Neodiprion lecontei: one gene and its partner. The protein of the gene in region 2 interacts with the protein of the main gene of each other region in a pairwise test. Links are inferred from orthologs where the notes say so. Each region holds a gene or a part of one and is shown on either strand. Other genes may lie near its edges.

What was found. The genes of interacting proteins can lie anywhere in the genome.
Region 1: the proteins of syntaxin-16 (region 2) and alpha-soluble NSF attachment protein interact in a two-hybrid assay, tested with the Drosophila melanogaster proteins (2 studies listed by BioGRID). The link is inferred for Neodiprion lecontei from reciprocal best matches to the Drosophila melanogaster genes Syx16 and alphaSnap.

The regions. Positions count from the first base shown.
Region 1 is NC_060263.1:28,720,354-28,726,290, reverse strand, and holds alpha-soluble NSF attachment protein, read left to right. Parts: upstream 1-1,883; 5' UTR 1,884-2,003; coding exon 2,004-2,095; exon of another isoform or gene 2,096-2,138; coding exon of another isoform or gene 2,139-2,158; intron 2,159-3,675; coding exon 3,676-3,872; intron 3,873-3,967; coding exon 3,968-4,233; intron 4,234-4,369; coding exon 4,370-4,543; intron 4,544-4,676; coding exon 4,677-4,826; 3' UTR 4,827-5,386; downstream 5,387-5,937. Other genes in the region: ATP synthase subunit gamma, mitochondrial, read right to left, coding at 25-909. UniProt on the Drosophila melanogaster protein: Required for vesicular transport between the endoplasmic reticulum and the Golgi apparatus. Also between the endosome and phagosome.
Region 2 is NC_060262.1:42,178,288-42,183,061, forward strand, and holds syntaxin-16, read left to right. Parts: upstream 1-1,694; 5' UTR 1,695-2,070; coding exon 2,071-2,151; exon of another isoform or gene 2,152-2,275; coding exon 2,276-2,494; intron 2,495-2,748; coding exon 2,749-2,956; intron 2,957-3,443; coding exon 3,444-3,709; intron 3,710-3,833; coding exon 3,834-4,043; 3' UTR 4,044-4,228; downstream 4,229-4,774. Other genes in the region: XK-related protein 6, read right to left, coding at 1-351.

The DNA.
Region 1 (5,937 bases), on a different chromosome or scaffold from region 2:
TAAACGTCCCCTATAGCGGTATGCTTAATCAAGCGCAGCAGCTCCAGAAATAATTTCAATAAGTTCTCTGGTGATGACAGCTTGGCGAGTACGATTGAAGGTCAGAGTGAGTTTCTCAATCATTTCACCGGCATTCTTACTTGCGTTATCCATAGCAGTCATCCTGGACGACTGCTCGCTGCAAGCACCTTCTTTCATACTGTAGAAGAGCAGAGAAGCTAGAGAAAACTCGAGATAGCTTTGAATGACGGAATCATCTAGTGAATCATAGATGGACAATTTCGGAGCAGTGGCAACTGAATCTTTGTCGTACAAAGGCAAATCTGCAACTCCATAGGAAACGACAGATTTGAATTTATTGTAGACAATGCGTCCAGATGCAAAGGAGTATCCACTGTTTAAAATCTCTGCAGCCAATTTGGAAGCATCAGTAAAAGTTGGTGGCAGGCGACCAACTTCGGAGGCAACAAACAATATATTATTGGCAAAAATTCGGGCTAAGACAGCTCGTGATTTTTCACCTACGCATATGATTTTTGTGTTCTCTTTATCTGCAGGATTTGCAAGGAGCTGATCTCTAATGTTGCGGGCAACTCCTGTGTGGCAAGCTCCGCAGAGACCTCGGTCTGAGGTAATTGCAATTACGAGTTTGCTCGGTACTCCTTCCGGTGCTGCAATTTCAGCTTTTTCATAAAAAGCTTTGGTGCCTTCTCCAAGGGGGCGGGCCTGTTTCAAATCCCTCTCCGCACGGTTGTACTTAGCAGCGGACACCATCTTCATCGATTGAGTAATCTTCTGGATGTTTTTAACTGACTTCAGACGCAGTGAGATGGATTTTAAAGTCGCCATACCCCGCTGTTGAAGCTGCTGCGAGTGCGCAGGCACTAAAGTTAACGTCTGACGAAGCATCTTTACTTTTGGCCTGCCCCTGAAATTAATTATAATCGTAAAAAGACTTGCTTACAAGGTGAATTATGTCAGACGAGCAGAAATTTATGCCTGTGTGCGTGCATAAGTGTGTAGACATTTATGTAATCGATTCACGCAGATAAGTCATGTGCCGATTTAATGTATGCAAATAATAACGCATGATTGTACATCGGTCAACGACAATAAAGTCCTTGGATAATGATTAAACCACGATACAATTACAATTTACGGCTTCTTTTGTTAAAAACAACCGTTCCAGACACTTACCCAGAAATTTGGCAGAAAGTTAGGTAGGAAAAGCAGGGACAACCTAATCCACAGATACTCTACCGCAAAGAGCATATGAGTAACAACCGGGACTAATGGTCAATGGCCAACTAATGGATAGACAGACGAAATTGCTGACAAGGTAGACACGAATACGAAGGCCTATCCTGTTTGTTATGTTAATTTGTCATCCCTGCTATAAAATATTTCCCAGCCCCGTCGAGTGAATTAAATATTGTAAAGCTTGAAAGGATTAAACCATTGAACAGCTGTAAAACCATTTAAAATTTTTTATATCACGTAGGCCGCTTTTCAAAGATCATCTCCCGGCCGTTGACTCAGCTTGAGCGGCATAATGTTTAATTCCACCGCCAGATGGATGCACCACTATCAAGTCATAAATCTATTTAGGAAAAAGAACGGTAATGTTCTTCGACTTTGGCGTATGATGTATGATAAAACATGCATACATATAAGTTCAGGCATTTAATATTACCCTATAAATGTGAATATCACTTTCATTTCATATCAAAAAATAACACCCGCAAAACACGGATCAACCTAACCTCAATGTATGGCTCAATTTCTGGTTTCACATAGATAGACGAACGCGATTGGCAAACGGCGATCCCCCCTGTCTTCCCTCAGTGGAAATAAGTGAAAACGAATAGGGTGGATGTTTCCTTCATGGTGACGTCAGAGCAGGTCAGAGCTCACTGGTGGCGCACAGTGAATGGATTTTGTCAATAAAGCGAGTGACAGTATAATAGAGAAATAGCGAAGTGTTTTAAAAAGTATTTATCATAATGGGTGACAATGAGCAGAAAGCCATACAGCTCATGGCTGAGGCAGAAAAAAAATTAACTTCCTCGAAAGGTTTCTTTGGATCTCTTTTCGGGTGAGTTGATATTGATTTGTCAGAAAAATGACAGACTGCAAGGATGGACGAATTTATTGATACGTACGTCGCAATTTGACGAGCTCCTTACTGATTTGCATAAACGATCCTATTCCTAAGTGACATATTTTCGATACATTTTCACGTATTTTACTATCACTTGAAATTCATCGTACGAATCATGAGAATTCGCCAATTTCATATCATCAAGAGTTTGATATTGAAATCAAATGAATATTTTTTTAATGTACGTGCATAACTCGACCCCTTCATTGCTACGTTTAGGCACTACTTCCAGGTCTAACAATTTTCCTCCAATCTCAGTTCTTAGGGCATAACAAACCTTCCAAATTTACACATCAATTTAGAGTCAGTATGTTCAATGGTTGAGTGACAAGGTCCATATGACATTCGACAATCTTAAATTTACACACATGATTAAAGTTTAAACAATAATTTGCCGAATTGTTATTGTATGTCGTATGTCCTGTACGACTGAACAAGTATATTGTGTAAGTAGGGTCGCGAGTGCTTGTAAACTTAGCATCCATTACCTTGTTCTTTTGTGTTAATCGACTGAAAACTGAAACAATTACAAAATGTATTCTTAGTCATATTTTTTCCTGATCTTAACTTCACAATAACATGATATGGTATTATTTAGCTTTGTTTATTCTCATATGCAGAATGCTTCCTGTCGACATTCGGACTTCACTCAATCCACTGAATTAAGTTTATTTTTGTAAAGACTATCCATTACATTTATTCTTCATGGACTTATATTTACCCAATTATTTGTTTATGTGTATTACTTGCAGTACAAGATATCGAAATACAAATAAGAGTATAAAATTACTTATTCACTGAGCAATATATTCGGGTGATTACTCGTTGATTCAATCAAGGAAAGGTATGCATTTCAAAAAAATTCATTGCTGAGAGATAAACTTCATTTAAATGGTTTCACAAGTATTGATAAAATGTTATGCAACGTGATTAATTAAACTGCTGAAGATATCTCAGTTTAACATAAATGCTTGATTGTTTTTTATAAAATGGATAACGAATTTCTAAGAATTATCTTCTACGATATTTTAAGTATCATTAAAAATTCACAGACATATGTTACTGTTAAACAGAAAAATCATTTCTTTGATGAATGAGGAACTTGCTTGTCCGAGACGAAATTCATGTTACTTAACAAACTGATGACAGAAAATATTCTCAAAAAACACATTATGCCTACATTAAAAATTGTTTCATACAACTGATGGAGGTAAATTTGAAGATCATAGTTAAACCAGTTTAGGAATGAAACTTTGAAGCATGACCAAGCAATACTGAAGATATAGTTTGTTCCAATGATGTTTCCGAATCTCACATACAAGAAATTTATATTAAAAAATTTCAGCCTGTATCTAGCTTGTGAGATATTAGGGAAAATCTTGTCAATCTATCTGATGAATAGATTTCATTTTGGCATTGATAATTTAATAATCTAAAGCGGTAATTACAAACTGCAGTGTAATCGTTGTGTTATTCGTACAAAATATTTGAAAAAAGCGCGTATTACTCCACAGAGGATCGTCGAAGGTAGAAGAAGCAGTAGAATGCTATCAGCGTGCAGCAAATATGTTCAAAATGGCAAAAAAGTGGGGAGCCGCAGGAAATGCATTTTGTGAAGCAGCTAATCTTCACGGCAAAGCTGGTAGCAGACACGATGCTGCGACAAACTACGTAGATGCTGCCAACTGTTATAAAAAGTCGGATCCAAATGGTATGATTGTTTGTTGTGTGATATAGGTTGAACTGTCTTGAATTGCAATCACTGAACGTGCCTCTCATTTGACGTTTTTTTTTACAATATTGTAGAGGCAGTTAGCTGTCTTCTAAAAGCAATAGAGATATATACGGACATGGGAAGGTTCACAATGGCTGCTAAGCACCATCAAAGTATAGCAGAGATGTATGAGAGTGAGTCTGTCGACCTTGATAGAGCAGTAAACCACTACGAGCAGGCAGCCGACTATTTCCGGGGTGAAGAAAGTAACTCTTCCGCAAATAAATGTTTGCTCAAGGTGGCACAATATGCCGCCCAACTTGAGAATTACGACAAAGCGATCCAGATTTATGAACAGGTTTGTGTGATTCATATTAACTGTTTGGTTTACGATAGGATGGTAGGGGATCTTAGTGTATAAGAATAGAACAAATTAAACACTTGCTCTTATGCGAGATGTAATGTATAATTTTATAGAGATTGATGACTTACAGGTCGCCTCTTCGTCCCTCGAAAGCTCGCTGTTGAAATATAGTGCGAAGGAGTACTTTTTTCGTGCTGCATTATGCCATCTCTGCGTCGATGTTTTGAATGCTCAACACGCGATCGAACGTTATCAAGAACAATATCCTGCTTTTCAGGATTCTAGAGAATACAAACTTATCAAGGTAAATTAGTAATTTATTATCAACATTAAATGAAATAAAGTTCAAATTTTACGTGGATAAATGCCAGATACTTAAGATAGTTAAGTATGTTTTTGTCCTAAAATCTTCACCTACTTTTTTGTTGTTGACACAGACGCTAATCGAGCACCTAGAAGAACAAAATTTGGAAGGATACACAGAAGCAGTTAAGGAGTATGATTCCATATCACGGTTGGATTCCTGGTACACAACGATCTTATTGCGCATTAAGAAACAAGTCAACGACAACCCAGACCTACGCTGATCTTTTCACTCTTTTACACATAATAATATGCCATTAATATCTTCCCACTCAGATTGTGCACATCTTCCTCTCATAGCCAGGCTTATAGAATATCTTCAGACCCTTGCGTCTTGAAGGGGATAAACGAATACTGTGTTTTATTAAAGTACTCACGAAATTGTTTATCGTTCTTAGAAATGTGTGAAGTATCATTGTATAGAATTGAAATATATTCAAGAATGGTAGTAAATACATTCTGTTGGAATCGGTTTGTAACACTAGTACGTCAATATTCTTCATTCACACTTACACAGGGCCTGATTCAATTTGGAACGGATGTTATTAAATTTTTCTACTATCCGACACTTATGAATTTTTTGCTAGTGAACATATAACGATGAATTTTTTTGTTCCTAAAAGTACATGGCACGATCACTACTGAAGGTATAGCTCAGAGGCACAGATAGCGATAAAGCCTCATTAGGTTGTTTATAACGTTTAGAAAGGCTACCTGGATTACAATTCAGAATAATAATGTGTATATGTTTCATTTAAATTAAAGTTCGAACTTCCAGGAGAAAGTGTTGTTTCTCATTCTTCCAGTTCCCGTTCGTTACTTTGTGGCAATTTACAATCAGTGCTAACATAAGTGGGGATATATTATCTACGACGAATTTTTTTTTTTCACATTTCTGAATTAACTGAAACTCCGTTCTTTTGAAACGTTATAAAAACTTAAAATTCAATTTTGAATCGTTGTAACTAATATCATTGCTTTGTACTGTTTTTCACCTTAAGTGACTCATAATTAGTAACATAATGCACTGACTACATTCATATATACATATATACTTATAATAAATATACATATATTGGCTATAATAATGTTAAATTAATAATAACGTAATATTTTACCAGTTTCATTGAAGATATACTATTTAGCTGCCGAGTTAACCATGCAAAAATGTTAATAATGTTATATAGTATTGGTAGGTTATTCTCAATTTCGAGATTATTTCAATGTTGTGTAAACGTATATGTCAATATTGTATTTTGTATATTACATATTAACAATTATTCCCGACAAAATTGCAGATTTTTTATTTATTTTTTTTTGTTTCTCTAAAATAAA
Region 2 (4,774 bases):
GCTGATGAACGTATTTACAAATGTCGGAAAAATTATGAACACGACAGTCCAAGCAAAATATGTTATCTTGTTATAGATCAGATATCGAGCCGCTAAGTTGATGTCAGCTCCGATATCGAAAATATGGGTAACGATAGAAAAACTCAGAAATATTATATCCCAACGTGTTACACTGGCACTTTCATCTGGTCGGTCGGTTTCATCGTCATACTCAATGCAACTCTCTGGATTGTCAGTGTTCTCAGCGCAGTTGTTGCCTAACCTCCCTCGCAAACTTTCCACACCTTCATGTGTCCTCCTGGCTTCATGGATGCGCACCGGTGATAGCATGTTCAAATGAATTCCACGCATTTGTTCGAATTATATTAATATATTTATAGTTGCTAGAAAAAAGAGTTGCACTGAAATTACCCTGAATACCAGACGTTTCGCTTTTAGCTAGCCACCCCTTTTTCCGACTTCTACGCCCCCCCTCCCGCACGTTTTGCCAGAGGCGACATATTACTGCGACAGATCAAAATTAGATCGAAAAAATGTCAAGGTCTTTAAACTTTGAAGCGTCTCCGCGTGGACTCTTTTGACAATCATTTTACACCAGCATCGGTATTACGTATCCGCGAAAAAGTATAATTTCGTTCGATGTTTTTTAGTTTGGTTCCAGCTAACAAAAAGGTGAAAATTGCAATAAATCATCTTGTCAAAGCACTGATACCACCCTGTCATCTCGTTATACTCATTATTTAACCACAATACACACTGATACACACCAATGCAACCAGTGAAAATATGTATGCCATTGGCAATATAACTATATCAGTGCCTACGGCGTATGAAATTATTTTGTGCCATTCGTGCCAGCTACGTCACGCAACTCTCATGCTACCCCATTCTTATCATTAGCTAGCTGATTTATCGGTTCAATGAAAATTAAAATCGGTCTGTCTCTTCTGAGCACTTTCCAATGGCCAAAGAAAATTAATGTGTTTTATACCAATTCAATCTAATTCTAAGTCCTTGGGTAATAGTCTTTATACTTTTCCCATGTATTTTATTATAAAGTGGAAGATTTCAAGGACAAAGAGTGCAATTGCTATATAAAACCAATTGATTCGTATCAACGTGTATCTGAACATTTTGCTTGAAACTTACAGACTTATCTTTTACGGAATGAGCATTCGAACGGTTCGGCAACCCTGTTTGAGTCAGATAGGAATCATGCGAGAATATCACATCGTATGTTGCCTTCATAGGATCAGAAAATCTAACAGAGAATTTATGGTCGTGCCTGTTAGAATGTTACGTGACTTTACATCTATTGAATGCCCCGTGCACGTTTGCACCGTAGTTGGCATACATTTGCGTGATTTTCGATCTGATCGTGCATGAACTCATTGCTAAAATCGTTATATGAACTTACACCCTTATTCATAGTCCTTCCTTGAGGAACAAGGATTCCTTGTTCGTGAAACGTGAAATGAGGAACAAGGAATCCTTGTTTCTCAAGGAAGGACTATGAATACGGGTGTAAGGCTCGCGGAAAGTGTGGGCTAGATGAGCCTGAATACGGTTAATATAGAAGTTTCCTGCAATTACCAACTATTCTCTCTCACCGACCCATTAACGTTGACTTCAGACGGTTAACATGCCAACATTCCTAATTTACTTTTTCATACCAAATAATGAAGTTTAGTTACTTGTCTTGAAATATTTATTTCGTCTATGCCCAAGTCAATGTTCGGTATTATAAGTCACATAAACGGATAGAAACCAAGATAGGCTCGTCGTATACTCTATTAAATTTAGATAAAATGTTACATGGCCAGCAATGAAGGTGGAACTGATACTTCAGAAAGCCCTTGAATATCCCAATTAAGAGAAACTAAACGTTTCGCCGTGCATGTTACAGAACAATGGATCGATTCGTTGAAAAATAAAAATTCCGTGGTTAGAAACATGACAACTGCGACTCCCTGTTGATGACGGCTCGGTCTTAGAGCTGTCAAGGTGTAAAAAACGAGAGTGATAAATATTTAGAGTCAGACTTAATAAAGACTGTACTGTAATAAAACAATGGCGACTCGAAGTTTAACAGAACCTTTTATTCTTATGCGTAACAATGCATCACAGACTCGACACATATACTCTGAACAAGTAAGAAAATTTTCGTTAATTCATTTACTGATGTTAGCCCACAGTAATTTCTTCAAACTTGGTTTGATTAACCATATGCCAATTGACAGCAAATCATCATGCGATAATTACTATTTTAACACAGAATTTGTCGGACAGAATGGCTCTTGTAGCCCCGGAATCAATGACTGGAGGTGACGTCGAGTTAGGGGGTTTGAATTTGGCTGGAGATGCACCACCTGCATGGTCTGATGCTCTGGAAGAAACCCAATACATCCTTAGTAGACTGCGAGCAAAGCTTGCTGAATTAAAGGAACTTCATGCAAAGCATTTGACCAGGCCAACGTTGGATGACACGTCTCAGGTATGACTGGAGCTGGCATAAGGCTCTAGTCAATTCATATTGAAATGTAAATGGAATATCTAAGTATCAGCATATTATTTGCCTTCCACCTTTTTCTGCCTCTTGTAATATATTATTGCCTGAAATAGATTTCAGCGAATAATCATGTTCTTTTCAAATGAAAAAAATTAATGTCAGGGGATTTTAAATGTAAATATTTGTAATAAATAGCTCTATTGAAAAAAGTTGAGCATAATTTTGTATGGCATGTGCAGGAAGAAAGGCAGATGGAACAATTGACCAGAGAGATGGGAAGAGCATTTACAAGTGGCCATCGGCAAGTGCAACTTATCAAGACAGCTGCCAGACAAGAAAGTAGAGCAAGTGAACGTCGACTTGCAGCCAGTGCCGCAGTAGCTCTTTCCACTGCTCTCCAGGAGCTGGGGTTATCCTATCGAGCTGCGCAAAGCCACTACTTACAGCGTACTATCACTATTGATATAATTTTATCATCTGTTCAGCCAGAATCCTAAACCTGAAGATGTACATAACACTGTGTTAAAATTAAACTAAAAGTCACGATGTTCCAAGTCAAGTAAAAATTGTTATGTTCAAGTTTGATAAAAGTCAGAATCTTATTCATTACTAAAATGCTGGGGGAGAAAACATAAAAGAAATAGGTTCAAAAGATCTCTGTTCAGTGATGCATGCTCCATTTTATCGATTTTACTTTTATTCACTCAATGCAACTGCAGTTCTCTCTTGGGCAAATTGACATTGATATGTCTATATGTTTTTATCTAGGTTTGATCGCATCTAAAAGAAAAACTCAAATTTATGTCAGTTAAGATCGTGGCTTTGTTTAAATATCTGAAGGCTGAAACACAGAATCCGATTCACAACATAATCGTGTAAAGATTATTCAATCGTCATCCAGGCTTTATCTAAATGTAATCCATGTTAATGACAGAATTGAATTCGAGAGAAGAAAGAAGTCGGCAGTACTTTGAGGAAGATCAAGAGTTTGTTTCTGTTGAACCATCGGATTCATGGGCAACAGATTTAAAGTTTGCTCAGGTTGGTGGAAGTAACTATGAACAACAACACGAACGGCAGTTGCAGCAAGAGGTCCTTTTGGAATTTGATGACGAAGAGCGGACCAGAGAAGCAATGATAAGAGAACAAGAAGTCGGACATATTGTACAGAGCATATCTGATCTAAATCATATATTTAAGGTAGAGATTTACCATGAAGTTATTTCCTTGCTTCAATACAACAATACTTGTAGATTTTTGATACAACCAAATAAAACAAACCAATGGACAATCGTTACTAACAATCTGCTTATGATTTTTGTAGGACCTGGCACACATGGTTCAGGATCAAGGTAGCGTATTAGACCGAATTGACTACAACGTTGAACAGACACAGATACAAGTGCAAGAGGGTTATAAGCAATTAAAAAAAGCTGATACGTACCAAAGAGCGAATCGCAAATTATACTGTATTATGGTGCTAACAATTAGTATAATATTCCTCAGCTTCCTCTTTGTTATATTCAAAACCTAGTACAATTGTATTAATAATATCACTGAATTAAGTAATTATCGTCCCATGGTTATTTAATTAATTAATCACTACAATGTCGAATTTATCCATAGGCAATTCATGTGTATGTATGTACGTACCTATGTACAAGTATAATAATGATATGTAATGCTGACAGCTAATAAATTATCAACTATTTATTTAAATGAATATAACCAGTTACTTGGCGTCATTGTGCTGCTCGCTGAAATGAAAATAAAAGTTGTGGAATTTCAAGTATCCACCAATCAGATGTAACATATCCTAATCAACCTAACCTTACATCTACAGAAAATATGCATGACTGCTGTGTGTTAGAGGCTTGAGCCAAGTTCGAAGTTTCATCTTGGTGATGACGCTGTATCAGTTACTGTATTTTCAAACGAATCATCGGTACTAAAAATTCTACGGGATTAAAGGTAGGGTGTATTCCGTTGTGTTCCGAGATAAGCTGCCGGTCCTAAAAATTTCTGAAGACTGAGAGAGAGCTCAGGAAAAATCGGGTAGAGCAAGAGAGATAAAGACAGCAAGCTGAGTTCAGAACACAACACATTTTATTATCCTTTCACGTTCGTTGTTCAAGGTGACGTGACGTACGCGACGATTCGTGTTCCGTAGATTTTCGAAAATATTCAATAGTGTACTAGATAATTATCCTAGGAATAAATACAGAGTGCACCACAGAGTTCACTGAAACATGAAAATATTAAGAA